2 linked regions of the Lytechinus pictus genome follow. The protein of the gene in region 2 purifies or fractionates together with the protein of the main gene of each other region. This does not show direct contact. Links are inferred from orthologs where the notes say so. Each region holds a gene or a part of one and is shown on either strand. Other genes may lie near its edges. The genes, in order: DCN1-like protein 3 and cullin-associated NEDD8-dissociated protein 1-like.

Evidence for each region.
Region 1: the proteins of cullin-associated NEDD8-dissociated protein 1-like (region 2) and DCN1-like protein 3 purify together in Homo sapiens (affinity purification with western blotting; 3 studies listed by BioGRID, with this or other methods). This does not show direct contact. The link is inferred for Lytechinus pictus from reciprocal best matches to the Homo sapiens genes CAND1 and DCUN1D3.

What each region holds. Positions count from the first base shown.
Region 1 is NC_087254.1:25,571,156-25,586,930, reverse strand, and holds DCN1-like protein 3, read left to right. Parts: upstream 1-6,916; 5' UTR 6,917-7,039; coding exon 7,040-7,984; 3' UTR 7,985-14,754; downstream 14,755-15,775. UniProt on the Homo sapiens protein: Contributes to the neddylation of all cullins by transferring NEDD8 from N-terminally acetylated NEDD8-conjugating E2s enzyme to different cullin C-terminal domain-RBX complexes and may play a role in the cell cycle progression by regulating the SCF ubiquitin E3 ligase complex, after UV damage.
Region 2 is NC_087245.1:25,054,578-25,071,272, forward strand, and holds the start of cullin-associated NEDD8-dissociated protein 1-like, read right to left. Parts: upstream 6,473-16,695; 5' UTR 6,328-6,472; coding exon 6,286-6,327; intron 4,434-6,285; coding exon 4,332-4,433; intron 3,417-4,331; coding exon 3,349-3,416; intron 2,650-3,348; coding exon 2,537-2,649; intron 1,103-2,536; coding exon 1,002-1,102; intron 729-1,001; coding exon 662-728; intron 1-661. Other genes in the region: T-box protein 1-like, read left to right, coding at 11,071-12,161. UniProt on the Homo sapiens protein: Key assembly factor of SCF (SKP1-CUL1-F-box protein) E3 ubiquitin ligase complexes that promotes the exchange of the substrate-recognition F-box subunit in SCF complexes, thereby playing a key role in the cellular repertoire of SCF complexes.

The sequences.
Region 1 (15,775 bases), on a different chromosome or scaffold from region 2:
TCAAAGTTCACGGCGGCATCCGCTATCACCACGAGGTTGAAAATAAAATGTATATCATCATAAACGATGTAAGAGAGTAACGCAATAAGCTCCGTCAGTAGCACGATCTTTAAAAGTTCACGGCGGGGTCCGCTATCACCACGAGGTTGAAAATAAAATGTAAATCATCATAAACGATGTAAGAGAGTAACGCAATGAGCTCCGTCAATAGTACGACCTTTCAAAGTTCACGGCGGCATCCGCTATCACCACGAGGTTGAAAATAAAATGTATATCATCATAAACGATGTAAGAGAGTAACGCAATAAGCTCCGTCAATAGTACAGTCTTTAAAAGTTTCTGGTGGGGTCCGCTATCACCACGAGGTTGAAGAGAAGATTTATATCATTATAAACGATGTAAGAGAGTAGCGCAGTGAGCTCCGTCGGTAATACGACCTTTCAAAGTTCACGGCGGCTTCCGCTATCACCACGAGGTTGAAAATAAAATGAATATCATCATAAATGATGTAAGAGAGTAACGCAATAAGCTCCGTCAATAGTACAGTCTTTAAAAGTTTCTGGCGGGGTCCGCTATCACCACGAGGTTGAAGAGAAGATTTATATCATTATAAACGATGTAAGAGAGTAGCGCAGTGAGCTCCGTCGGTAATACGACCTTTCAAAGTTCACGGCGGCTTCCGCTATCACCACGAGGTTGAAAATAAAATGAATATCATCATAAACGATGTAAGAGAGCAACGCAATAAGCTCCGTCAATAGTACAGTCTTTAAAAGTTAATGGCGGGGTCCGCTATCACCACGAGGTTGAAGAGAAGATTTATATCATTATAAAGGGGGTAAGAGAGTAGCGCAGTGAGCTCCGTCGGTAATACGACCTTTCAAAAATCACGGCGGCATCCGCTATCACCACGAGGTTGAAAATAAAATGTATATAATCATAAACGATGTAAGAGAGTAACGCAGTGAGCTCCGTCGGTAATATGACCTTTCAAAGTTCACGGCGGCATCCGCTATCACCATGAGTTGGAAGAGAAGATATCTATCCCCTTAAACATTGCCATAGATAATACCGTGACTTTCTCCCTGAATAATGCGACCTCTAAATAGCTAGCGCCTCAAAAACAATCTTGAAATATGTTCTGAGCGATCACGCACTGTAACCAGATCTACGCCGATTTTTTATTTTCGATTTTTTTCCTTCAAGGGGCATGATCGAAGATCGGCAAGTGATTGCCGATTGTGGTGAAATCGAATGGAATCGGTTGCCGATTGCAAAATCGGTTATCGGTATGCAAATGAGGGAACTGATGACATCACTCACTCACTATTTCTTTTGTATTTTATTATATGAATTATGAAATATTTTGATTTTCTCGTCATTGTCAGGTGAAATGAAATTTCATTCCTCCCTGAATACATGGAATTCCATTATTGTAACATTTTGTGGTTCAGGCAAGGAGGTCCTAATCGTCAAATTCGTAAAAATTGAAATATTGTATAATTCAAACAATAAAAAACAAAAGAAATAGTGAGTGAGTGACATCATCGACTCTCTAATTTGGATGTAACTGGCTCGTTCATATAACTATTCTGTTAAAAATAAGCGAAACTTTGAAATGTCATAACTTTCTTATTTTACATCCGATTTTGATGAAATTTTCAGCATTGTGCTTGTCTGATTTTTCTCTATTGATTCAAATCAACATTTTGTTGGGGTGGACTTGACCTTTAAGATTGCAGAGTTAGGTGTCATAAGAGAGGCTTGCATGTAAACTTAAACGTTGACCTGAAAATGACCTTTGAACTTACCATGTGACCTCCGACCGCAGCATAACATGCAGGTCCCCCAAGTACATCTACAATCCAAGTTTTGTTGAAAAGTGACTTACGGTTGGGGAGTTATGTGTCAAGAGAGTCTTGCACGTAAAGTTTAACGTTGAACTGAAAATGATCTTTGACCTTTAATACACGTGACCTCCGGCTGCAGCATAACATGCAGGTCCACTATTCTACCATCCAATTCGGTTAAAAAGTGATTTTGATTTTGATAAAAAATTTCCAGCATCTTGCTCAGTGAATTTTACTCTTTTTATGTAGATTATTTTCAGCAGAGTACCCCTTTAAAACTTCATCTTGATAAGGTATAAAACTGAAGTTATCTCGTACCATGCTCGTACTTACATGTCCATGTAGACACTTATTTTTTTGTGTCTGTTGTTATAATCTACTATTAAATATCCTTGCATCTGATTGGCTCAAAGCAGAAAAACCCCAGCTTTCATTGCATGCCAGATCATAATTCATTATGTTCCTTATACATGGAAGATGATTTGTTTTATTAATCATTTTAATATTTGTTTTGTTATAAAATTCCTCTTTTTGCAGCATCTTTTTGTATCTTTTATTTTGAAAAGGTTTTATTAAGATCTAAAATAAATCTATGTGTAATGATTTAAACAAAAGGAGTGCAGTCCTTTTATTCATTAATTTTTGGTTTGTCTTTTGGCTATTATTGGTGAGCAGGATAGGAAATTATTGTTGTTTTTTAGAGGCTATCTTTTTATCCACGTTGGAGCAATTGCAGTAATTATTTGGGGGGCTATTTCTTTTGTTGTAAGGGCTACTTTTTATTAAGGGTAACGGGCAATTAAGCAGTAAAAGCAAACATCATTATTGTGCTATAACCTAGGAATAGAATATTGATTTTCTATAAATTAATCTTGAATATTGTTTGTTACAGATCTTAGTGCGACTCTAGAATGAATGGTCACTCCAAAGCTTGCATTTTGAGGGAATTTTAGGGTTGATTTGGGCTGTCATGAGGGCATGAGTCCTCATGTATTTCCTATTCTGTTTGTGAGACATATCTGATAATTTATTAAAACTGATTGTCTTCCTAACTGTCGCGTAATATAGAATTATCAAGACATGATGAAAAATACAAGTACATTGTAGGCCTAATTACATATTATTGATTTGCATTATAAAGAGCACTAGAAAGTTCTACAGGAGCTGTGAATAGTGAGGTACAGTTGCCATAGTAACAATGCCATCTGTTCTCATCACGTCAGTGTGGTAATAGACTTTTGCGATTTACATTTTTATAAAAAAAAGCTATTGATGTGATTGACAAATTCACAATGAATGTTATCATGGCTGATGCGCAATGTACTAGACATTGTACATGTATGTATGTACCTGGCGTGTGTGTGTATTAATTGAACATAAACAGTGGGCTTATTTATGCTGTATCCTTGGTAACAAATATAAATTTTAGTGTTTAGTAGACAAAAGGGAGCATTAGTCACAATCCCTCAAAATATGTACTGAAACACGCAACCACATATTTCTGATTCTGCAAGTACATGTATCCCAGATGTTTTTTTTTTGTTAGGATAATATCCAATTTCTGTATGTATTTCCACATCCTCTTGGTGTATTCACCCTTTACATTCACTAGTGTATCCTGTCAAACATGAACAAAAAAGATGAGTGAATGAACTCTATAAAGTATAAGCACATTATATCCCTTTTCCTTTTAATATATTTTGTCTCATTTCCTGACCCCCCCCCCCCCCCCCCCTTTCTCTGAATTTTCATTTTTTGCAACCTTCCTGTATTAAAACATACCATGCTTATCCAAAAAAAAAAAAAACTTTTTGGTCCCAAGCAATAGCCTGGGCCTGTCTAATGCTGGTAATTTCTTCTCTAAAATTAAAGGCATCAGAATCAATAACATGTAGGAATCTATACATGTGTGTTATCATTGAAAAAAAAGGGTTGTTAATTGGAATAATTGATTTCCAACACTATATGATGTACGTGTATGATGTTTGCTCAATTTAATTTTCCAGATTTGCCTTGACATTCATGCAGATATTGAGCAGTCACAGTTATGTAAGGGTACATACATACAGTACATGTACACCCAATCAATTACCAGGCTGCCGTTCCAAGAAACAAGTGTTAAAGCATGCATTCTAACATGGTGGCACAGGGGTCCTATTATTGAGACAAAGATATTTTTGCTCCAGTTTTTCTAGACTCATTGTGTGACATTTAAGGTGTGAAATGCATGTAGAGTGCATGTAATTGATTTTCCGGCCATTTGAACATTCAACAGGAAAATCATGTTGGCAGACGGGTGTGTTGACATGTGTACACTATGAGAAATTTCTGCCTTTATATAAAGCAAACATTTCCCTTTTTTAATATTTGAATCCTTGAATGAAAGATTTCTGGGCTTACATTTTTGCTATAAAACTGTTTTAAGGTTCCAACCCCTGACTATGATACATGTGCTAGAGAAGGCCTTTTTGTGTGTTTCAAAAATCACTATATATTTTCTGCTTCTGTACATCACTGCTGAATGTGTTGTTATATCAAAGAAAGTACATTCACTTCAATATGGTTCACAGATCTTACGTACATGTATGTAAAACTGAACAAAGTATTATACATGAATTGCAGTGTGACAAACAATTATATTATCATCATTCATCACTATATACACTTCCTTGTGGTGTGGGAAAAACATGATAAAATAGGAAGGGGAGTGTATGAAAACATGCTGTACAGTCTCTTAATACCACTTCGTATTCCTAATGCAATGCAAGCATGCGTAAGAGTTCAATAATGTTCTCACGTCGGAAGTCAGAACGTCAGAGATGTACATGTACATGACATGTAGGCCCACATAGTATGTAATCGTCTTCCATCGCAATAATAGGCAAATTTTCCAGTAAAACATACTGCTCATTGTGTGTCATACATGTGGAAAAAATAATATTAGAGATCATTAGAAAACTTGTCACATCACCTCATGACATCGTGGTTCAACTTCACAGTTCAAAGTGAACAAGCATGAATACAAGATGCATTGCAATGAATATGACAAGCATACACTACAGTATCATCATTCATCACTAGTTAATTAATCAAGTGCAGCACCACTGTATCTAGTGATGTGGGAGAAAACGTGAGAAAATAGGAGCAGGGGGGGTATGAAAACAACATCTATCATCTTTACTTCTATACCAGTATGCAATGCAAGCTTGTCTGCCCCATGGAGATGTATGCAAGCAAGGAGCTTCTTGATACAAGTAGAATCAGTGGCACAAATTGTATTATGGATGCATGGATGAGAACTGTAATTGGGAGTTTGAAATGATACTTTTAGAGCCAAATCATTGTCCTTTGATGGAAGGAGGAGTCGGGCATTGACGTATATTCGCGTGTGTTAACTTGAAGGATTGCATTAAATTATCCAATGATGGGCAGACTTGGAGAGTGAATAATACGTGCTTTGAATCATCAGTGGGATATCAAACCATGAAGCATGACTGTATTGAGAAAAGGGATGAATTTTTGATCTCTGCTATCTTTATAGTGTACATTGCAATTTAGTGGAATCAGGAAGCCCTGTTTCTTTTAATAATGAACACATCCTTGCATAAACACTGCTCATTTTGTGTAGGCTGTTCTTTTTTATATGCAAAGGTGTTGTTTTGATGAAATTTTTTGTGTTGCATGTTTGAACTTTTGTCTGTTTTCAGGTCATCTTGTTATTGGAATTGAATACAGGTAGATTTAAAGAATGAAATGCACATTTTGATATTTATAAAGGTACATAACATTGCAATAATTTGCAATAAATTGCAACAGATTTCCTCTACACTCGCTCCTGACCTGCGTTGGAGCTTTTGCTTTTGTTTTGTTTGATTTTGATTAGAAATTGTAAGAGAAAAAGGAAAGAAAGAAAGAAAAAAAAATGATGGGGTGAATGAGTGAGAGATGAAGATATTTGGGAGGGGGTTGAAAGAAAAGAGAGAAAGTACATGCTTCTATGTACAATGTAGGGGGTATAGAACCTAAAGAAACAAATTTGCATAATAATAGGCAATATTTATTTTGGAAAAAAAGCTTTGTATCCTGATCAGCTATGGAGCAGCTGTATTTCTAGATTGAAGTTTATATTTAAGTAATCAAATGTCCACTAGTTAGATAGTATTGTGTAATTTATTGAGCTATATTTTATTATGTCTGGGCAGTGGCAATCTGTCAGAAAAAAAGACATGCTAGCCAGACTTAACTTTATGTACAATTTGAACCAGTGAACTATTGAATTACTGACCATTTTCATCTATACCTTCCGTTTAATGAGTGTAAATTGAAAAAAAATGTGGCACACATATTGTTTGTCACAAAGTGTTCTCTGTATTTGTACAGGTTTTTTAGCAGCTGTACTCTATCATAACACAACCGTAACTTGACCCCTTTTTATATCAAAGACAGACTCTCCATGCTGGTGATATGGTTCAAGTTCACTTCTGAACCAAAATAAAATGGGTAGTCTTTGTGATACATGTACATGTACATTGTAGGCTACATGTAGATTGTCTGTTATGATTTGTTCTTTATATTAATAATGATCTGGATATTATTAACATTTCTCAATCACTTTTTGACAGTTTTGTAACTCCACAATTTACAGTTTATCACTACTGAAATAATGGATCTTGGTCTGTCTTGCACACACAGAGAATATACAGGGTGTATTCACATTCTCTACTACCTGGGAGTACAGTATTCCAGCAATGCACCTGCTCATGCATAACAATATTCAATGGACGACTCATTAGGATGAATGAAACTGATTTAGAAAGTATTTGTGTGTTGGTGATATACATGCACATTTAGTTGGTTGGACGAGAGGTAGAGGGATGGTCATTTTGCTTGCCCATCGTGAGTGGCTCAAGAAGACTGGCTGAATTACTCCCCAGGGAATGAAGAATGTGCATACATTGTCAATTAGATTTTGTTTCTGGATGCTATACAATGTACAGTACACATTATTTGTATCATACTTGTATATTAATTTTCACTTTGTTGTACCTTTTTATTTTCCCAGATCTGTCCTGATGTTATTAATTTGAGGGACCTCTCCTCTATATGACCTTGTTTTGGTCCACACAACCCCAGTGCTCACCTATGGTCCCCAGGCTATCTTGCCCGGCGCCATCCACCAAGCCACCCTCATGGGCAAGTGTTTCTCCGTCTGCAACCCAGGTTCAACCAACGTGGAAGAGCAGAATGGCAAGAACAAAGCACAACTCCCTCCCAAGCCCCCTCATCATGCCACAGCTATAGAGCACCCTACTGCCCAACCAGTTCAGTACGTCCAACATATCAGCACAACCGGAGGCCGTGCAGGCAACCTCCCTCTCCGTCCTGCTGGGGACTCGAATAATGGTAGTCACAGCAGACCTGCGCATGACACGCACAAGCAGTTCCCCCGACAAAACGGTGTAGAGACAAACGCAGCCATGAAGTCAGACTTCTCTGAGCGAAAGGCAAACAAACTCTTTGAAAAATATAAAGATAATTCTGAGGATGCCATTTTGGCGGAAGGCACCGAAAGATTTTGTCAGGACCTTAAGGTCAGTCCAGAGGATTTTATAGTACTAGTCATTGCATGGAAGTTTCAGGCGGCAGTCATGTGCCGCTTCACGCGGACTGAATTCATCCAAGGTTGTCGCACCCTACGTGCTGACTCCATCAATGCTATCAAAGCCAAGTTTCCAGAACTGCGACACGAGGTCAAGACGAATGAAGCCATGTTCAAGGATCTTTATCGGTACACATTCGGCTTTGGCTTGGACACTGAAGGGGGCCAGAGAACTTTACCTTGTGAGATTGCAATACCTCTATGGAAGCTTGTCTTCTTCTACCGACAACCCCCTATCCTAGATCGCTGGTGCAATTTCCTGACTGCTAACCATGTTAAAGGTATATCAAGAGACACATGGCAGATGTTTCTGCACTTTGTAGAGGTCATTAAAGATAATCTCAGTAACTATGACGACAACGAAGCCTGGCCTAGCCTTTTTGATGACTTTGTGGAATATGAAAATGATAGATTGAAAACCGAAAATCAAGGTGGAAAGGAGGATGACGACCAAGAGGAAACTCATCTAGTGTAAAAAGAATATTAGGGATACCCATATTTTTAATTCATTTTCACTTGTTTTATTTGTGTCTTCTCCTTTTTCCTAATGCAAGGTGCTCCATTTGCTTCTTCATGGCCCTTTCAATTGCTGACATTAGTTTCAAAATAAGCAGTTACTTTTGTTTGACTGATATTCCAGTGACCAAGAATCTTACTCTCTTATTTTATTAGTATGATATTTTTGTGAACAAAGAAAAAAACTTGGGAGACTTCCATAATAACATGCACGGAAGAGTATAAAATGTAGATGTGCGTATTATGCAGCATCTTGTTGTAACGTATTTTTCTTAAAGCAGGAAATGTAATGACATGCAGGGATTATTCTTTACAAACCTTGGTCAAAACATGATCATATTTAAACGCATTTTTATCTTTGATACAGAAGATTAAGTTATCAGAATCCAAAGAATGCATTTGTACTTCTTGGTACTTGGATATATTTATTAATGGGTTTCCACATTATGTAGCCCTTAATTATTTGTAGAATGCATGTTTCAATGCTAAAATCCACATAAATATTCAGACTCAAAAACCTTCTATAACTTTGGAATGTTTTAAAATGTGTTTCATAAAATTACACCTACATGTACATGTATAAACTGCTCTTATGATTATCTGGAAGTTTAAGTGCCAAATTAGAGCCTAAACTTTGGCTGAAGTCTCATTAATTTTTTCATGTACTTCAAATGAAATTCCTGTGAATTTATTGCAAAATATACCGGTAGTCACAGAAACACGGCAAAATATAGTCATACACATGTACTGTAGACTTGGCATAAAAATATGTTTTCATAGGGAGAATGGTACTTATTCAAGAACTTTAATATAATGCAACTAAAAATGGTTGGTTGAAGAACAATCGCTTTCCATATCCCATCTGTTAATAAAGGCATTTGTAACTTTCTTTAATAAAAACAGCGTTATGATACACCCTTCCCCTTGAAGTATTGTAATGCACTTCAGAATTGTCAAACTTCATATTAATTTCTGGAAGATGTGATCACCCGACTCAAAGCCTACAATAAGTTTTTAAAAATAATTTTCATAAGTATCCCAATTAGAAGAGCACATTTTATGATTTAATTTGACAAAATTGATCGACCAAAGCCCATATAAATATTATGGATTTTAGATTTCTCATTCTTGACGCACAATCTTCTAATTGGGGGGAAAATATATATATATTTTTTTTGCATGAATAAGGAGGAGAACTCAGCATCTACATGTATGGAGGAAAGATTATGTGTCATATGAGGTTTCAGGGAGAGATTAAAAGAAGAAGAAAACTGTTTAATATTTAGAGCCCAACTGACTTTTCTGGCATGTTACATTGTCTTTTTGTAGCTTTGAGCTGGTTGGTCAAAGAGGTAATCACTGTCACATACATGTAGTCCCCTTTAGTCATATGACTTTTTGAAATTTGAAAAGCTTTCCCAAGTGCAATGTTTGAAAATATTTTTTCTGAATGTAAAACTGTTGGATTCTACATGTATTTTACATGTATCTGAAATCTGTAAATGATCTTCCTCCTGGGAGAGGGTGAAGAGGGGGGGGGGGGGGGGGGTCACTGAATATTATTGCTCGACAAGTTACATGTAATACCAAAAATGGTAAAACTTGTACTTTTTGCTGGTCAAAGGATTTTGGACCTATCTCAGACAGTATAAACTTCCAAGAGTTGATAATTTGTCCTTTAAAAGATGTATTACTTTGGATACAATGTACAAGTATGATTCGGAAGTAAATACAGTAAATTAAATTTCTTGCATTAATGGATAAATGTTAATAATTTTTGTGAAGGTTGAAATCAAAACAGTTAGGTTGACATGATAGACTCAACAGTTGCCCATTGTAGGGTTCATGTACCTGTATTAAAGGGTTTTTTTTTTTTTTTGGTATGATTATAAGTACCTCACAAAAATCATATAATGGAACTAAATGTCAGAGAATATAGATACAAATAACAAATGGGTTATACTTCAAATAACCTCCTCTTGTGCAGTGTATTTATTCAGTACTACTGATGTTTAATATTGAAAATTATTTTTAATATCGATTTTGAAATTATTTTAACATCGTTTTGCATTGTTGAGATATGAGGGGTTTGGCTGAACCCAATCATCATAAAATATGTTTGATTACGTTTTAACTTGCATTATGTTCATGTATTTGGATGTTTCATTTATAGCTTCTATAATGTGGATGACAACTCGGTAAATTAATAGACGAGATAAATAAAATGCTGCATCTCAATTAGATTTATAAAGAAAACAAAACGTGTTAAAGAAAATAGAAACAAGATTTTTCTTATCAATCAATTTGAGAACTGTTGATATGAAACTGTCTTCAACATGTATGCATAATCGAGCTTAATAACCTCTTTTTTGAAAGAATTATAATAGCAGTCTATGAACTGCATGTCATATTTAATTTTATCTATATTGACAAACACATTACGACCCCATTTCTCCCATGCCTTGAAAGGTTTCTTTCCTATTCGTCTAATGCCTATTCATCCAATTGCCAACTCGTCTACTATTATTTGGTCTACCATCAATTCGTCCACTATCCACCACATGGTCTAATTGCAAATTCGTCTACTCACCATTTCGTCTAATAACCAGTTGGTCCAATGGCCATTTAGTCCATATACCATTTGGGCTAAGTGTTAATTGTGCAAAATGAATGAAAATGAAATTATTAGACCAACTGGTTATGAGACGAAATGGTCATAGACGAAATGGTGATTAGACAAAGTGATGATTGGACCAAATGGTTATTGAACCAAATGGTTGTTAGACGAAATGTTGATGGACGGAATGGCATTAGACTAAATGAAATAGACCATGAGGTGAGTGGACGAATTGGCAATTTACCCGTTGAAATCATCAGATCCCATCTTTATTCATAATACAGACCTGCATGTATTTAAAAATATTCCTTTTCCCAGTAATGCCTGACATAGCAGGATATAATCAATTGCAAATTTATTGTTTTTATTTATTGAACTTTTCTATGTAGGGACACACATTCTGTCCTTTATTACAATCCTGATTTTGAGGGTTTTTTTTTTTTCATCTGCACATGTCGTTGTTTCATTGTGATTTTTGAAAGAAGATATTTTGTGACTTACCTGTTTTTCAGTTGAATATCCAAACTTGTCAGATTTTATTCTATTCTTTTATGCACATGGTAAATTTTATTTAAAAAAGCATGTGAAAGAAGTGGTATATTACAATTAAGGATGTAGTTGAGATTGGATTTGAGGCATCAGTTGCTACAGTCTTGGCATCAGCCATAGAATAGGCGTAAATGTACAAAGTCAGAACCCTCATCCACAACTCCATAGATCTCAGTATCTCTCCTTTGTTTATTTTGTGCTGATTTTTTATCATAAGATTAATCTTAATTTAAGCCTACTTATCATTTTTATTCATGCTCAGTTTTCACTTGTGAATGTTATTTCATCTTGGGTCATTTTTTCCACTTTGTTTTCCATGTTTGTGTGAGCAGAAACTTAAAACAATTTTGTACAGGTTACAAATCTTATTGTCTTTAAATACACTCAGACACTTTTGAGAAGTGTCATCATTTTTTAATAAGTTTATAATTTTCTGATTATTGTACAAAGTAAGATTACTATTTTTATTTAATATTTAAGAAAAGTTAAGAAACTTTATATGTGTTTTGTATATGCATATACTCTTGTGATGTATTTCAACATTTTTATACATGTACACCAAGTTCATATTGAATCATTGAATATTTGTAGAATGCTGATATGTGTGTTGTGTTTAAGTCCAAAGAAATATCCTTTCATCATATAAAAAATTAATGTGTTGTGAAAGTAGAATTGTTTGTTCACTGATACACATATTTTGCTATAATTCCAGTTCTACCCGTATGAGAGCGATCAAGCATTTTAAAAACTAGAACTATGTAGAATTCACTACACTCTTCCAAGATTCGTGGATACATTGAATTCTAAGTAAGACTAATGACAGTGTTTGCTCTCAATATACATGACTTAATCTTGTTGCCTTGGCAACCAATCATTAACTTTTCTTCACTTGAGAAGTACATGTAGCAGTTAATCCTTTTAATACTTTACAGAGTTTCAATCTTTATTACACAAATGAAAGTGAAATAGAAAAAAATTTCATTGCTTCATCTTAACAGTCTCCATTGCCATATTGATCATGAATGTAACTGAAATAGATTGTAAAAAAATAGAAATAAATGTACCCTCTATAACAAATGTACCTCCAATTTGCATGATCAAAATCTCATCTCCATCTTCTGTGAAAAAGCAACAAATTTTTTTTTTTCTTAGAATATTCATTTTTCCAAGACAAGTATCCATGGGTGCATTAAGGCTACTTTAGCAAAGGCAGAATCATCGCAAACACACTCCCACAGAGTGTTTTTAATATTACGGTATTGTGTTTAGGTGAATTCGCAAAAGTGCATTGCGTGTTCTGTATTGACCCAGAAGAAAAGAAAATGTTGGGCATGTGCTTTTACCAAAAGAGTAGTGTTATATTGCGATCTTGATCAAACAACAACGTGATGTAATGATGTTGTTTTAAGCATTTAGAATTGACGCTATGTACATTGTTGCATCCCCAGGAACCGTCTTTTTGAGGAATGCTGATCGCACATGTACATGTAAAATTGTTAAGAGTTAACAATCTTCATTTAGACAAGAATGGGGAAAATGCTTAACTTAACATGTGTCAAAAGCCAAAGTATTGCCTGAAAATGGGAATTGTACACTGTAAAAAGGCACCCATAGGCAAATGCAAGGATACAGTGTACATAACATACCATCTCGGAATGTGGAAACGAAATGTCTGGCCTGGAAGATTAGTCGGGAACGATCGGAATTAATAGGAATTAGTACACTGAAGGAGTGATCAAAGCACAAAGGTGAATTTTTGTGAATAAATCCTCAGATTTTCTAATGAATAAGGAAACATATTTCTTTGTTCTGAGCTTTTAAATGTTCAGTGATCAGGAATGGTTCCAAAATAGATCGTCACATCTTTCTGCACTATGTGCACAGTAATTGCAGTTTTCTTTGACCTTCTGATTTGGATATAACTTTATGAATGTTAATATGTCTTGTAGCTTTCAGATTGTAACAATTACAACTATAAGTATACATAATTTTGCTGCGAGTTTACTTAAAATCGGTCCGTTGATCATACTCATATGCTCAAAATCCACAAATTTTATTTTTAAATTTGATTGTCATGTATTGAGTTTTTATTCTATCCACTTGCAAATTTGTTGAACAGGTCTTCATGTCATATGGACACCTGTATATAGTTTGCTTTTGAGAACATTCAGATTGTTGAAATAATACATGCACCATTGACATTGTTATATTCCAAACTTGTTAATACTTGTTCCTACAATAGAAACTTGGAATAACGAGACCTGGGGCCGGTTAAAGAAAGAGTTCAAATGAATTGCACCTCAAAAATATCAAAGGCAGTTTGAATTTTGACCAATCAGAATTACACATTTTAGACTTGTGCTCAATTTTTTTAGTTATGTTTTGCATTCAACACTTTCTGCAATTAGGCCCCAGTTCAAGTTGGATCATCAAAATATCTTGACGGATTATTAAAAATACACAGAAAAACACAGAAAAACACACTATCATTTAAATGGTAAGTAACAGGATTGTTTACTACCATGTTACACAATCGCCACATTTCTGTGTTGTTTTGGAATCCAATCATGTTGAGTGGTATTATGAAGTATGCTTGTCCTTCTCAGTTAAAAATCATTTTGATATTGCAATTTTGTATCAATCTGGTGTTGTGCAGGTAAGCTTTGCCATCAACCAAAGACCAACATCAAACCTTGTTATGAAACATTTTAGACTGCATGTATTGATAAAAAATTCTTCTGTGGGGAATGTTAAATGTGACTTAAAGTTATGCTTTCATGCCAATGCACAGATGATATTTAATGTGCAATTTTATTGATCAGAACGTTGTAAAGCACGTCTACTTTACACAATACCAATGCAGTGTTGTGTTTTATAATGCACGCAAACAGGAATTTAAGTGATTTTTAAAGAGATGGGGGGTACAGTACATGCCTATGATAATCTGATGAATAATAGTTGTCTAAACTTTTCTGTGATTTTGCAACATTTTGTGGTCAAACTGAATAGTCGTCAGTGTAGTCATAGTCACATGGCATTTTGTAATTATTCCATGCATAATGAGGCCATTCTTCAATTTATCATGCAATTTGTTTCCTGTTTTGCCAGTCTATTAAACTCGCTTCATTTGTTTTATCTTAATCTCTCTCTCTCTCTCTCTCTCTCACCTCTGCCATTTTCTCCCATATTCTCTTTCTCCTGCATGTCTTACATGTATGTTTTAACTATCTGCCTCTCTTTCTTTGTCTCCATTTCTCGTCTTCTCTTGTCACCCCCCCTTCTCTCTCTCTCTCTTTCTCTCTCTCACACACACACTGTAGTATTTCCAATTGTGCTGTTTATCAATCTTTATCAAACTATTGTCTGCCTGACAGTCTGCCCTTGGCCACTATGCCAAGTACGATCTAATTATAACCCATGCCCAGGCGTTCAAATTCAACAATCAATGCACTGAAAGATATGTATGTATCCGTCATCTCCTGTCACAAAACTATTACGGAATACAGTTGCCTTGGTGATATTTTGGAGGACAATTAATGTAATAAATGAATTCTACAAAACTATATGATCTGTATTTATTATTTACTTTCCGTGGGTCTCTTTGATGTGAGTGAAGGCAGAATATGCTCAGAATTTATGCATTTTTTAATGCATTATTTCCTTATGTGTCTATTATAACTACCAGAAGTGATACCTCCCTTGTTCGTGCGTGGGTGTAATTTTTTTTCTGTATGGATCACTGTGAGAAATATTGATGAGAGTATGCATACAAAAATCTACACTTAATCATTCCTGGCTTAAAATGATGAATATGAAATAATGAAACCTGTGGTTTTGTCCTTTATGAAATTATTGCAAAGCTCATAAATATTGTATTTTTAAATGTCAATTCTCTAAAGTTATGAAATGTAAACACGTTTCATATTTTACTTCATATGGGAAGATTTTTCTTTAGATGATAATTCCTTCCTAGATCTGACTGGCTATATATATAATACAAGCTATAATCTCGAGGAGAAGGTGGTTAGAAATGAATCTTATTCAACTTTTCTTATATACCTTGAGCATTTTCCCTCTCTTCCTTAAGATAAATTCCAGTTTTGGTAACGATCTCAAAATGACTTTTTACAGAATCTAATATAATGACCACCCAAGTGTCTGTTTGTATGAATAAAAAATATGTGCCAAAGGATTCTGGAAGAAATTGTGTTATTGCTGAGAAATAAGCAAAATAAGCGCGGATTCGGTCACTTCCGTCGGGTCTTTATTCCAGCAATAATAATACACTGTCCCACGTGTGCCTATCTGTGTTGGCGATCTTCAGTGTGAACATTTTTCAGCGTAGATTTTAAGATTTCACAAAGTTCAGTTCATGTAACTGTACCAGATCTAGATCCTCGATGATATACTGACAATTAAGCCTGGTTTTACAGACTTTCTGATGAAATCAGTGTTTACTGCAATTACTGGAATTTCTCTTTAAGAAGTGGAACGCTTCACCTGGCAATATAAAAAAACTAGGCAAAAAAAAATATATATATATTGAAAATATAAAGGGCTAATTTTTAGAGACTTCACTCATTT
Region 2 (16,695 bases):
CGCGTTACGGCATATTATTACCCCGGTCATTGGATTCATTTCAATCCCGCACGAAAAGTGCACAATTTCCACTCCCTGGGGAGCATTCCTTGCATTCATCGCAGCCTCATAATGGCGCTGGCAAATTTAAACGTACAATATCTTTCGCATCCTACCGGGTACCCATTTAGCACCTGGGTCGAGAGTGGCAAAGTGTGGATTAAAGCCTTGCCAAAGGACGCTAGACCGCGGTGGGATTCGAACACACGACCCTCTGTTTACAAGGCGAGAGTCAGAACCACTACACCACGGCTCTTCCATGATGAATGTCGCAAATGGTAAATGGCCATGATATTCAAAGCTATTCAGTCAACTCATTTTTTTTAGCTGGTTTATGAATACATTTAGAAGTTAACAGGATGCTGTAACACAAAGCATTGCACTCGATCGTGGAACAAATTTAGCTATTGATTGCATTAAGCAGTGTACAATCACTTGTACGATTTTTTTATGAGACCCAGAGAGTGCTTTTTTTTCCAATAAGTATTCATGACAAGAACAAATACTTTGCTGCTGTCTGTTGCCACCTGACCAAGAAATTGTCAGAAGCAGATGGTATCTTTAGACTTCAGTAAGTGACAGATCTTTCAAGACAGACCATCAAAATATTTTTCCCAATTACCTCCAAATCTGCTGAGAAGATCACCCAAGATGTCTAGGGCTTCCAATTTGACTGACACATCCTCTTGCTGGAAACAAACAAAAGAAAGAAAATAAAATTTAGTTGTCATTTAAAAATAAATAACATATAATCAACTTCTGATTTTAATTCACAATTCAGCAGATTGCATTTTGTAAATGCTATATTGATCAGGGAAAATCAGTTTCTCAAAGATTCTGCTCATTCTGCTGTAAGAATGGGTAAAAATATCTAGGGGAGGGGGGCGGGGCATACCATAATCTTTCATGAAACCTCTAATATCGACATTCTTCATACTAAGAAAGTGAGAAAGCATACTTACCATGGCAATGGCATTGGTTAGCCTGCCAGTGATGCTCTTACATATGTTAGCTGCCAAAGGGCTGGAAGCAGGTGGCAGTTCATTGATGACTGTCTTCAGACCTATGTTACAAAATATAAAAATAAATCATTTATAACCAATGATTCTAACCTCATTTTTTTTTCCACATGATACATCAATGTTCTTAACCTCATTAATTCTTGAACATCAACATTGTTACAATGTTCATGGCTCCATTGGAGATACCGATATCAGGATGTACTTGCTTGAGGACTTCTTTTCATTTTGGGGATATGGACATGTCTCTTTAAAAAAAATTGTATATCCATATCAACCCCTCAAATATGAATGAAACCAGAGATAATATTTATCTAATTTCAAGTTGAGCAGTAATATAGACATGCCCAATAGAAAAGTTGCCGAGCCGTAAAATTATTGTATTTTAAAACCCATAAGTGCTTGATTTAATTAATTGGCAAAATTTAAAAAAGGATAAAATACGTTCCACATTGACCAAGGAAACAATGAAATTCTGATAGATCCTTAAATACAGTATGCCAATTAATAGGATGTAAAGGGAGATAATCTTTAAAATTGAAAAAAGTTCTAAAATAATATCTATATAACAACTATTAAGAGAGAATCAAGCGTTGTAAACAACTTTTACAGTCTTTGCCCATCACAGTCATCTTTAGCATGCATGAAACCTATCCTTACCATCCTATCATATTACCCCACCTTCATCAACTAAAGGGTGTACATGTATGTATGCTCAATTACACTGGCTGTCATAAACATGGTAACAGATACGAGTACATATAGCTGCATGACAGACATCGCTGTTCACACATAAGCCAGTCAAAACTGTCAGCATAGTACATGGCATGTATACATGGCATGTATGCCAAGTACATGTATTCAGAAATAAGGTAGTCTCTCAATTTTCTTTTTATTTGAATAAGCAAGTTTTTTGTAACTAAGAATACAAAAATATATTTATTTTTGTGTAATGTGAATGCACATGACTCTATTTTCTGCAAGGAGTCTCTCCCACACAAACAAGAAAATAATAAGTCAAGTGTTTTCATATCATCTTACCTAAAACATAAAAATAAATAACCAAAAACAAGATGGTTAACAAACCACTTGTCTCGCCTCATTTTTGTGATTATTAAAACCTGCAAAATGACCTTTTTACTCCTAGATGACCTTTGCCCTCGCCATCTCTATCTCCACAAATGTGATATTACCCAGGAATCATTTGTACCAAGTATGAACGCAATTGATGCAGAAACAAAGAAACGAGAGCAAGTTAAACAAAAACTTTTAAATTTTTGTAACAGACTAACAGACCATCAGGAAAACTGATCACTAGGTCTCTGCTGAACTTAGTTCAATCGAGACAAAAAAGAGCTACCAACCTTACAACAAACATTTCTTTGGGGGGAGGGGGCCTACTTGGTATTTATACCCTTCCTTCAGAGATTGATAGCACTTGGCTTTCCATGTATATCCAAAGAGTTAATGCTACTTACCAATGCTGGAGATATCTCTCAGTTGTTCTTTATCTGAGAGCATATTGTTACACAGTGTATCCACAATCGTCTCCACTTGGTACTCCTTGACCTTTGACACTAATGGACCCAAGCTGAAATGAATCAATAATAAGATTGTGGTAAAAGTCACTTAATTTGTAAAATGTTCAAAATAGAATAATAAATTACTTTGTCCTGGGCCCTGTAACGTGAAATATAAAATCAATTGTACAAATCAGTGTAACTGCACATGTACGTCTTCTGTCTATGGAAAACCATGAACAAAAAGATACAATTCATTGTAAATATTGCATCCCCTGATTTCCAATCAATTTGTATTCATATCATCAGTACTTACTAGCTTTGGGCAATATGATTACATATGAATTCATATTTCCATCAATTTATGCAGGAGTCATAAAATAAAACAAATCTTTAAATATTCCACCTTTAGTTATGCTAAAAGTGTGTCAAAAATTTTGACAATGAACCAATACTGTGAACTACATCACATGTATCTGACATCCAAATCTAACAAAAAATCACAATTGCGACCATTACATCATTTTCACAGATATCATTTTCTTTTAAATGTCCCCCCCCCCCCCAAGTTGGAGAGTGGAGGGGTGAGTAGAAGAAAATGAAATCTAAGTTTTATATCATTTATCTCTACAGCAGCAAGACCATTGTTTTGGATTCTAAACTTTAATCTAACTTTAAACTATTATCAAAGACCTGTTGAACAAGTTGAAAAACTCTCATACAAGTAGGAATTTCTACATAATCTCACAACAATGGAATATATATTTTACCATTTGACGGCCAAGTTCTGGACTTCTCCATTCTTATCTTCCAACAACTTCAAGAGCATCCTCACCACCTGGATTTTTATGAGAAAAATTTGAAACAAATTATGAACTCAAACCTAGGGGAAAGGGGTTACAATATTCATAATGGGCAAATACACACGTCAATAACCAATCTTCATGCATCAGGCCTAACTTGTGTGTATGCTTTATGTTGATTAAAGAATAAGTAAGTACTGATAATCGTAAATTGAAAATAAAAACAATTGCACTAGGATTTCAAAAATCTACTGAAATTTGAAATCCACAATCTCTTTATGAACGCCTATCCCAGCTTGCTCCATGGGTAACAACACAAATAATAGTACTTAATGTTTATTGTGCCATGATGCCCATTGATAGCAATAAAGTATACCAATATCTTACATATCACAAAAATCATGTAAATTTCTTAACAAAATGGAAGTGTCAAATATAAATTAGGGATGTACAATAGGTGGTGCAAAACCTTAAATCACTTTCCATGAGAGCTTTTCATTGGAGCTAATATCTATCATGCATGTATACTTGAGTTTTATTTCCTATTATTGTAAATTCCCAAAGGGATTGCAGCCACCAACCATGGACATTTATGTGGTAGTTTACAGTACATTCAATTTCTTGGCCTTAGCTATGAACGTAATTTTGTTATCAATTCTCAACTGTCTTGGGGGGGGGGTGGGGGTAGAAACGTTCAACAAAAATTCTACCTCAAGCAAACATCATCCAAAAAATCATTAGTTTCAATGCAGGTTTTATTTTGATTTAGTTTTTCAAAAAAAATGATCACAATAATTCATTCTTACACAATTTACCGGTATCTTTTCTATTAAACACATAGGGGCTAAACCTATCAGGCCTATTGTGACACTTTGGCTGGCAGATCACCCTAAAACACTGTGTAAGTTTTTCCCTGTTGTAAATCATGCTGGGAAAATTACAGTACTTACCTTTTTCTCACTGTCATCATCAAGCTTGATGGAGTCTTTCTGAAGCTCAGTCATCAGATCATTAGTTGCCATAAACCGAAAATCCTTATCACTGGACGTCATCTGTATAGAAAATTAATATAATAATTTGTTGGGTTTTTTTTCAAATCCAAATATAACTATTAATTACCGGTACTAGATTGTGTGATGTGCAATAAAACATACCAAGACAGAAAATGATTCTTAAAAAGGGGGCTTTAGAAAAAAAAGGATAAACTGGGGAGAGAGTTATCAAGTTTTTTTAGCTGCATGAGGGACTATCCCATCAAGTAAATGAATCATGATCCTGCCATTCCCAAAAGCTACAACTGAAAGCCATCCCAGCAAATCACGTGGTCTACATGTATGTACATGTACCCAATAAAAAAATAACATACTTGGAAAAGGATTTGTAATGTAAATGGGAAAGATTGCAAAATATGAAAACATTACAATATTGAGACTTAATTAAATCAGGGCTGAAAACTTTGTCTCCTCAGAAAATAAAAATTCATCTACAGGTCAATTATATTCCTGACTTTTTAACCATTATTTTGTTTGAAGGCAAGTCCATCCAAATGACAAATAGTTTTCACTCAAACAAGCATAACAATGAAAATTTCATCAAAATCAGGTGTACATCAAAATGTTTTAATAGCACTTTTAACTTTTGCCTAGACTTCTACATCGCAAAACAATGTAGCTAACACAAGCACTATGCTAATGAGGGACCAACTCATATCACACTTATAATTTATTTCTTTCATGATATCAAATGGGATTTTAAACCTGTAATGGAAAAACAGGATTTGACTAAACTTTGAACATACATGTATGAAATTACCATTATTTCAACTTATTATGAATCAATCAAGAACCTCTTTACTGTATTTAAAAATTATATCTGACGAACCAGAAAGAAAATCTGGCAATGTTTACACCACCATTTTGGCTTTTGTTAAGGAAAGCTGTTGCGCATTACCAATGAGCCGATCATGAAGCAGGACAATCACAATACTGCATGGCTTCAATTGTCTAGCTGGCTTGCCAATCGGCCCTATGATTGCGCAACTTAACTTCATTCCATGACAAAATGTTGTGATGATTGGATAAGTGCTGGCTTGTGAAAACAAGATTGAATGTTAAATCTTGGCACATGTCAAATAAAGGGTGCATTAACATTTTAAATTATACCCTATCATGCAAACCCATCATTGATCTGGTCTGGAAGTACGTGACGTTCTTACTTTTAAAAATGCAATATATCAGGGGAAAAATTGAATATTTGAGAGAATTTGTGGATACTTTTATCTCATACGCATATTTGGGTAGACTATAAGTATAATTTTTTTTGGCAAAGTTGAAGTTTGAACACTGCTGATTAAATATTACCGATGGCGAACTAACGAGTTTGCATTTTACCTTTTTTGCATTGCCATTGCATGGATAGACTGGAACCCGGTTATTTTTTTCCTTCTTCTTCTTACATTATAGTATGTCCCTCTTGTAGAGTATTTCCATACTTGTCACAATTATAACTTTCTCTCTTTTTCAATTTTTATTTTTAAAAAATTCTTCAACGTGACAACAGATCATGGTCAATAAATGAATAACGGACAGATAGAATCATGAAATTGATGCAAGACTCTATAGTATAGTATAAATGGAAACTTTATTTTTTGTTGCTCTGTTTGTTTGAAATATTTGGAACCTTATACCAACGGTAACCCGATTATTCTTGGCCGCGCACACATTCACAAGAATCCCGAGGCTGAACTCCACCGACGCGACGCCGACAATAATTTGGCGGCGGAGCCGTGTTCCCTTACTAACTGCGCTGAGTTACATACGCCGTACGCAACGTGTGGGACTGAAATTGGGCAGTACCCGGCAAATTACGCTGCTCTGAACAATACACAAAATTTGTATCCATTACCTTCTCCAAGAGATTGGAGATGATGTAAGAGAAGCTTGCCATGGTTTCCTGATTTTCCTTAACCCAGATTGATGATGAACGTCTCAAAAGGTTATAGGTAAAGCAGAATAGTCCTAATAGAAGATGATCTGAGTTCACAAGATCAACATGGCACTGTCAACTCTTACGCGCATGCGCGAGAACGATCGAGCTGAACTTATTTTCGATTTCATTATCAGCAGAAGATGAAGATACATTATTTCCAAAATTATTATATTCTTTTATTTTTTTACTCCTCGATAAGTAAGTCCCACATGGCCCTACCCCTGTAACCCCGCTGAAGCACCCCAAGATTTTTCCGGGGGTGCTGCGTGTATTATTCTCCATAGGCAGCACCCCTGGAGGTCTGGTAGGTGTGAAAAAATTGATAAAAATGACCTTCATTTTATAGAGAACCCCTCTCCGTTGTGGGGGAGGGGGGCCTTGTGAAATTTCTCGGGACCAAAATGATCTTTAATTTTTAGTGAATCAAAAGCTGGTATCTTGCCTCTAATAATTCGAGATTCTTCATCGGTTACAGAGAATAATATTAATTTGTGTTTCAATCATCTATAAAAGTATAGCTTCATAACTATGAGCAATAGGCCTACTCGCTCGTTGAATTTTTTTTTCAGGGGGCTGTCAAAATATTAAGTCTATAAAAATTCAATACTTTCTAAGTTTCTCTGCAAGAAAAATAGACAAGCAAGGGGTCGCTCCAAAATTTTCATTTTTATCTCTATTCACATTTTGGGTGAAAACGTGAAATAAAGTTGAAGAAAGAAAAGGAACTGAGAAACAGAAAGAGAAAAGGACGAGAAACCAAAGGAGAGAAGGGAAATGAAACTAAGAAGAAGAACAGAAAAATAGAAGAAAACAAGAAAATGAAGGAGGAAGAATAAAAAAAAAAACATCAAAGGATAACGAAGGAAAAATGTCATTATCATTATTTTAGCGATTATCGATATCATAATTAAAACCATTGTACTTATCATCATTGATGCTATTGCTTATTTTTCATTATTGTGTTGTTTTTATTAATCCATCATCTAAGCAGAATAGTCACCATCAACATTAATACAACTTTTTTTTTATTAATTCCCTTTAACAATATTTTTGCCCTCAACTTTAGCTGTCCGGCTCTTAAAAACTGTATGCGTGAACAAATAAACTGTGTTATATGGCTTTCCACAATAATTATTGTAGGCCTATAATTTTACACTCTAAATTCCAAGGATTTAAAATAAATCCAGATCGGCTGTGAATAGTGACCAGCCAAATCTTTTTAAAATTCATTTGAATCTTAAGGATTAACTATTAAATCTCAAAAGATTTAGATTTAAATCTTTTAGATTTATATCTAAATCAACAAGGTTTAAATCTAAATCTAATATTCAGCTGGTCACTATTCACAGCCGATCTGGATTTATTTTAAATCCTTGGAATTTAGAGTGTATTATTTCTTACCTATATATACAACAGTCCTTTGCTCCTTGTGAAAAACTTGTTTCAATAATTTGATAGCAGCTTAATGCATTTCATAAAACGATTTTGTGTAAAATCTTGCCAAATTATTGAATTTCATAATCTTTCATATATTAGCAACAGGTCGCAAGGGCGTATAGGCTGGGGGTGCACTGAGTGCACCGTGCACTCTCCCGCTGAGACAGAGGAGTTCCGACACTGGCAAGCAAAATGAAATTTGGACCCCTTCTTCTGCTTTCAACAGCGGATTAGTTCCACCTCCCCAAGATGTTCACCTCCCGATGCTCAAACCAGGCTGTAGTATGTCCTTTGTGTTATTTTGTTTGATTACTGTATATGTTATGCTTCTTTTCATATGTGTTTATTTTTTTATTGTATATGGACCCCATGGAAGAACTGTATTGTCATGTTGACAAAACTGAATATGGGCTATACGTCAGTTTTGTATATATATATATATATATATATATATATATATATATATATATATATATATATATATTGTGTGAAAGAAATGGATGAAGAGAACAATGGTAGGCGTAGCTTAAATCAAGGTTCCCCAGAGCTCCTGGCTTAAAGCCGGGAAAACATTGCTATGTATAAAACATTGCTCTGGGGAACCTTGATTTAAGCTACGCCTACCATTGTTCTCTTCATCCATTTCTTTCACACAATATTTAAATAAAAGAGTTGCCAAAGCTGTAGTACATGTATAACTTCACACACATATATATATATATATATATATATATATATATATATATATACACGTTTATACGGAGAATAGCTTTACATGTACACTATAAACTTTACCATCATTATCACAATGGGCATAATTCTTTACATCTGAATTCCCCCTTAATTTGTCTAGGCAATCGCTCGCCAAACTTTACAATATTATTAACAACGTCTATTGGCGTGCAAATGCTACACTTTCAAACAGTGTCGTAATGAGCCCAAAGGCATTGAGGGGCTAGATATGGCGTATTGGGCAAAATTTATTTTTAATATTTTCAATTTAATAATAAATATCAAGTTTTGTGATATATTTTTACATAATTTTCAGAAAGTAATATCATATTTCACTCTTCTCTCTTTCCTTTTTTTTTCTTGGTCGTGATTTTTTTTTGGGGGGACAAGCATCCCAAGGGCCCCCATCTGTACGCCACTGCTGTCAAAACAAAATAATTAGGTGTATATGAGATTGCTACGCGCGTTCCGTATACCCAATGGTGATAACACAAAGCGGTCATTGACCTTTTCCTGTCTGGTGAGTGGTCATCTAATCCCTTCCGGTCGGATTTGAACTTCGACCACTAATTATTTATTCATGATGTCATGAGAGAAGACTTCCTTGAAATGACCCCCTGATGAGGAAGAGGCTTGAGAACACATTCCTAGAAAGCAAGGGGGATTCGAGAATCACCGTCATATTATTATGTTTTACTCTTTGATTTAAGATAAGAACCATTTACCACGCTGTGTACGTACGACTTGAAACCAAGAAAAGTCACAGCATCAATGACTGTTTTTCGAGCATTAAAAAAATTAATAGAAAAGTAGAGGCGGTAGCTACTTTTTACGAAAACATTTATGATTGTAGTATAATAGTAGTAGGCACTACTTGTATTAGTAGTAGTAGTAGCAGTAGTAGTAGTAGTAGTAGTAGTAGTAGTAGTAGTAGTAGTAGTAGTAGTAGTAGAAGTAGTAGTAGTAGTAGTAGTAGTAACAGTAGTAGTAGTAGTAGTAGTAGTAGTAGTAGTAGTAGAAGCAGCAGCAGCAGCAGCAGCAGCAGCAGCAGCAGTAGTAGTAGTAGTAGTAGGAGTAGTAGTAGTAGTAGTAGTAGTAGTAGTAGTAGTAGTAGTAGTAGTAGTAGTAGTAGTAGAAGCAGCAGCAATAGCAGCAGCAGCAGCAGCAGCAGCAGCAGCAGCAGTAGTAGTAGTAGTAGTAGTAGTAGTAGTAGTAGTAGTAGTAGTAGTAGTAGCAGTAGTAGCAGTAGTAGCAGTATAGTAGCAGTAGTCGCAGTAGTCGCAGTAGTAGTAGTAGTAGTAGAAGTAGCAGTAGCAGTAGTAGTAGTAGTAGTAGTAGTAGTAGTAGTAGTAGTAGTAGTAGTAGTAGTAGTAGTAGTAGGAGTAGGAGTAGTAGTAGTAGTAGTAGTAGTAGTAGTAGTAGTAGTAGTAGTAGTAGTAGTAGTAGTAGTAGTAGTAGTAGTAGTAGTAGTAGTAGTAGTATAGTAGCAATAGTAGTAATAGTAGTAGTAGTAGTAGAAGCAGCAGCAATAGCAGCAGCAGCAGCAGCAGCAGCAGCAGCAGTAGTAGTAGTAGTAGTAGTAGTAGTAGTAGTAGTAGTAGTAGTAGTAGTAGTAGTAGTAGTAGTAGTAGTAGTAGTATATAGTAGGCCTAATCATCTTGAAGTATATTGGAAATATAATAAAGGGAAGAGTAAGAAGAAGACTTGAAGAAAAACTTCCCGCTACTAATAATGCATGAATTTTCAGAAATGAAGGAAGCAGTTAATAGCTTAAAGGAGCAGAAGAAAGAGAGGAGGAGGCCCGGGAGGAGGAGGATAGAGAAAGCTGAACACGTATATTAATTAGCAGATCAAGGAATTTATATATCGTCTTCTGTTTGTCCATGAAATAAGCATCAAAACCCCTTGGCATATGGTAGTTCCAAAATAAACAATCATCTTCTATGCCAATTCTATAACTCAATTCTTTTTATCCGTTTGTCAACTAATGTTACTTTCAAGTCGCGTGCCTCCCTCTTGACCAATCAGCGTTCAAGTCGCCATTGTCTGGTCGCCCCACGAGATCAGACAGGGAGGCCTCATTAACAAGTCCCCGAAGAGTGGTGCCTTACTTATGACGTAATATAAAGAGAGTCAACCAAGCGAAACGTCAATGTGTATGATAGCATGCGATGCTCAATCCAGGCAAAGTTTAACTAACTTCTTCACTATTGTGTTCAGTCTTTTCATGTAAAAGACGTTTCGCAGGTTGGATTTTGACAGTTCCTGCAAATTTGACGGTTCATCATCGTCTCACGCCCAAATGAGATGATCGCACACACATCACGCCAGGGGAATTTCAGGAAAAGTGTTAACATTTAAGAGAGGTATTTCATCAGCGTTCACGCCTTGTCACTTCTTTGTTTATTCATGACTGCTAACCGAATTTTCGCACTCCAACTTTGTCCTAAAGGGATTGAATTTTATCACGTTTGCGCCTTTTGATTTGGCGCGATTTCTTTTTTTCGAGATTTTTTTGGGCTTCAGAAGATTATGATGGGAGATGAATTTCAGCATGCGGCTGCAGCAACAGACACGACTAACTTTCTAAAGACAGAACCAGAAGAAAATATTTGCGTTTCTGAAGATGAGAATCTTAATGGTGAATCAACAGATAATATCGTCGATAAATCAGCAGATTCCCAAAATAAAACGAAATTTGAATTATGCGAGATCAAGTCAAATCTAGAGAATTGTGATGAAAACAGACAGTCTGAGTCACTACAGAGGAATGGACATGGGAACACCGAACAGTCATACAGTTTACACGATTTTGGAACCCATCATGATTTGCATGGGAATTTACAGAGGTATTGTCCTCTGTCATCTCTCCAAAACCAGCCTCAGCAACCGGCAAATTTACCGCACTACCTGTTGAATACTTGCACGGTATCCAACTTCACTGGAATTCCCACCCCGCCACCCGCCACTTCGCACAGTCAACAACAGGTGATTCAAAGGACGTCGCCTTTCATAGATGGGTTCCAGCACCTGTCGGGAACACACCAAACCCACCAGCAAATATCCGAAATCGGTACCCCATCAGGAAATAGCAATGCACTGATCCACCATCTCCATGACACCAATGAGTTTTCAAGTCACGACACAACCGCATCGGGCCGTTGCAGTGCAGATGAAAAATCCTCAATGCCGATCTGTGCAAGCCACGATCCTATTCACCAAAGGTTGCTACAACAGCCACAACAGTTGCAGGAATTCGACATGAAGAAAGAACTTGAACATAACGATGTCCAAGTACCACCATTCTTTGTTGAAAACAAACCACCAATACTTCAGACGACCAGTGCTCCACCACATCAGCTAATTGGCGCCTCTTTGGTTCCGCCATCACCCCATACCTTCGGTCACCTCCCAAATGGCGCCTCGCAGGACCACGAGGACGAACATGCGAAGGGTGTCGTTCCGAACCATGTCGTCAGCCAGCCATACCCTCCACCAGCGGGTCACCAGCACGTCGAGGTCGCCAACGGGCCAGGGAAGGCGTCAGTTTACCTCTGCAACCGCGACCTGTGGCGGAAATTCCATCAGCATAATACGGAGATGATTATCACAAAACAAGGAAGGTAAGTAAAATGCAACTTTTAAAAAGCCATGCACCAGCTACAAACACAATGTCATATTTCTCTATGAAATGAATACTTGTATATTCTACTTCCCTGTGTCACACAAGAAAATAAAACCATTATACTCTTCCCCCGATCATATTGTATTTTACATTGCAAGGAGTAACGTCAATAAAACCAAAATCCCATTCTTCGTTTTATATCTTTTCACAATTTTATAGAGTGCGTGTCAGGTTATTTTCTTATGCATTATTTATACCCAAGTTGTATATTTTTGCAAAATATCAAGTAATCTCCCACATAAATTATCAAAATAATCAAAACAATTCGTAGCTTTTTGTAGCTTAACATGCGTAAAATTGTCTAAATCACTTTAAATTTATTTCAGTGTATGTTTTTAAGGTCAATGAAAAATAAAACATTCTTCTGTTTAATAAATGAATGGCAATCTCTGGAATAAAATCTATGAGCGGTAATTGTTGCCACATGTAAGTCTGGCATTCATCATCATCTAGCAAGTTTTCGAATATCCAAAACAACGATTTTTTAAAGGGTATGTCATTTTGATAAATGATATTTAACTTCTAGATCGATTTAAGTTAAAGCTACTTTTAGGGCACATTTTTGACAAGGTATGATAAACACACACACAATTTATGGAAATTTCTTGATAATTTAACAAAGACGATTTCGACAGATCATTTGGCGTCACCACAAACTACAATAATTTTTGTTCGCGGTCTTTTGAGAAAAATTGATTAAACCAGTGATTTAACAAAGGTGGGAAAAATTGAAGGCAAAATTATAAGTTTTCAAAAATCAGAAAGCTTATTCTTTATTGACAATATATATTTGTTTTAAGAATTTCTTGTGCGGTTATTTTAATATATGCTAATAAAACAATGACACGATAACAACCGCATTCGTGCACATAATTATATTTGATGATACTTTTGAATAATGTTCGCCTCCCTATTGGTCTAACGGATTTTTCATTCACATTTTGGAAGTGTTTTTTTTAATGCCACCCAATCATGTTGATAAATGCGTGGTCTCAGACGATATGTGATAAAGAATACCAGGAAGGGAATTCTCTCAAATTTCATTTCACAGTATTCATACCCAAAAAATTATTTGTTTTATTTTCACCATGCAAAATATACTTGTAGATAAGAATACATAAAGCAAATCATAAACGAAAACAAATGATGGGTAGAGTCCCTGAAATGGAATTATTTTAGGTGAGATACTCTTTTAGATAAAGCATTAATAATTTTGTTTTCAGAACAGAAACAAGAACTATACATTTATATGAGTAGGATTTTAAAAACCTATGCCGATATAAACCTTATTGATAAATAAATCATACATTTTCAACACCCATAAAGCCTTAAAATACCACATTCCTCACCAAAAATGACAGGTATTTGGAAATAATAATAATAATAACAACATTTATAGGGCGCTTTGTATACGGGTGTTTCAGAGCGCACATGTTGGCTGACTAAAGTAAACAATAAGCCCATTAATTGAATTTTTAAAAAAGTATGCTAGTGTTGAGAAAATGGGAATTTCGAGTGAGGATTTAAACATTTCAACAGAGGGAGCATTTTGGATATGAGTTGGGAGCTTGTTCCACAGAGTAGGGGCAATAACAGAAAAAGAGCGATCACCGTATCTCGTCTTTGTGCGAGGGTCAAGAGTATATATATATATATATATATATATATATATATATATATATATATATATATATATATATATATAATGTAAGGGGGCCCTCAGCACAACGAGTAGTGCAGGCACTCATCATTTAGTGTAGATAAACTTGGAAGACAGAAATAACGACGAGTGAGACGTAGCTCTCAGGTTTCCTTTTTTTGCAAGCTTTCGGCCATCATCGGCCTTCGTCAGGCCTACAAAAAAAGGAAATCGGATGGAACGAACATAGTATTTACATATATATAAATTAGGTATAATATTAGGTATACGTCTCAATCATCGTTATTTCTGTCTTCCAAGTATATATATATATATATATATATATATATATATGTATATGTATATATATATACACTGTAAAAATGGAAGTGCTAATTTAGCACTTACAGTGCTTGTATAGTGACTGCACTATACGAGTGCTGATTTTCTAGTTTAATTTTGAAAATCAGCACTCGTAGTGCAGTCACTATGCAAGCACTGTAAGTGCTAAATTAGCACTTCATTATTTACAGTGTATATATATATATATATATATATATATATATTATATATATCTTCATCCATTTCTTTACAATATTTAAATAAAAGAGTTGCCAAAGCTGTTGTACATGTATAACTTTACACATATATATATATATTATATATGAAGAGTATATCCTTCACATTTCTTTTCTTTTTTAATGATAAAATATTGATACAATGAAAGTCGTATCATAAACGTATATAAGGGTATTGAATTCAAAAGCATCGCATAGCTCGTTTGATCATTTTAATTTTACTGAAATGTAAAAATATTCTAGTCAAAACAAAGTTCGTCCAAATGTTTATTTATTTATTTATGTATTTATTATCAATTCGGTCATTACAATATATGAAATATGAATTAACAATAAAACAAACAGAACCGTGGGTGGATACATGTATATAGCTTTGATTGAACAAAATATCATGGGTTATTCATTCAAAGCCAAAATCTTATCTTTTTTTTCAATTCATATTATCATGTCAACTGATACTTGTAACTGGGACAGATCGTCAAATGAAATCATGTGGACTTTTCAGTAATCACATAAGAGATGATTCCATCACTGTGAAAGTCTATGAATGAATTTGAACTCGGAATAGTGTTTACACGATGGCCACTTAACCGCATGGCGCGTCTAGTTCGGATGTGGAATGTCTATTTTCAGCGTGCACCTGTTTCATCGATCATTGTTGATACCAAGTGGTCATGACGGTCATAATCTTTACAAAGCATCCCGATGTGTATGTTCTTAACTCATTACACCTGTAATCAATATTATTCGCTGCTAATTAATTTCCGAGAATCCATTGTACGAATATTCAATACATTACAAGTGTGTAGCGTTAAGCCGCTGCGAGGCTTAATAATAAGGTTTTTTTTTTCAAAGAAAGGGGCCTTATGCTCATAATCTTTTATTATTATTGGTCTGAATGCAAGCAAACATCATTCTATTTAATGTATGCAGGCCTATTTGAGAACAAGATAAAAACAGATGTTGTTCGACTATTCAGTTCTTTATTTCCTGAATAGACTTTATTAGGCCTACAGATCTACCTGTACTTTGCTTGCTGCAACAGGGACAGTGTTATATAGGAGGAAAGTAAGTCTGTTCCCTATGATTTTGCAAGTAGTGAAAAGGGAGAAAAGTGGAAAAATAAAAGGAAAAAGAAAAAACAGGAGGAAAAAGAAAAAAAAAGTGCATAAGAATGATATCCTTATTGTTTAGCTCTTTACTGCCCATCTTAAAGAAGACAATTACGTCACTTTTATTTAGTCTTTCCGTGTGAAAATACCGCGTAGCCTCGCTTGGCAGGAAGTACATTTTAAGAAGAAAATCAATGTAAATAAACAATCTAAAGCTTTTGAAAGCCGTTTATAACTCGATATTATTTACTCGATCAAGAATTTGGAAATTTCATCATATCTAGGCATTTTTAAATATAAATTGTTGCTTCAAACTGTGGTTTCTTTTTTAAACGTTTGAGAAAATGAAGATTGGTCCAATCATGGACCTATGAAGAGATGGACATTCATCGCTTACTTAATGAATTCACTAACAGGTGACTGTAATTGTCCTCTGAATAACATTCTCTTCATACTAGTCTTCTTTGGTTCCATGATCGTCACCGTGAGAAGGGACGGAAGCAGTTCGTGACTGGACATTTATATTTCACAAATTATATGCGCAATAGACAACAAATCACTTAAATCATGGCAAATCGATGTGCAGTTCTTTTTTACCTTTGGTAATCTTAGTTCCATGTGTTTTATTTGGGAGAAATGTCTGCATATTTTAATGTAGAGGCAATATTGTGATTGATTGTTTACCATTTAAAATTCAATTTCCCAAGTTTCTCCATAATATTCCAAATATACGTGGTACATAACATATATAGATCGTGTATCTCTCAATGTTATTGAGGTCCTTATGTGTGAGCGGTAGTTAGCGGATCGAATGATATCATATTTTATATCATAAAGATCGTCTGCTTCTCATGTTTGCCGCTCCAAATATGAAGCATGTTGACTGAAAGGCTCATGCTAAAACAGGGTATCAGCCAACAAAAATCAAGACCGGGTAACTGTTCCGTCTTTAGGTAATCAGATACGCCTTGGTAGTCATGGTAATTGCTATTGTTACAACACCTGTATGTTCTCATTAAGATGTGCATAACCAAGCGACGGTGACTATCATTGGACCAAAGAAATGCTCGCGTTGATAGTCCATCTCTTCATAGGTCCATGGTCCAATCGAGCCGATAGCTAGCATTCACAAACATCACCATT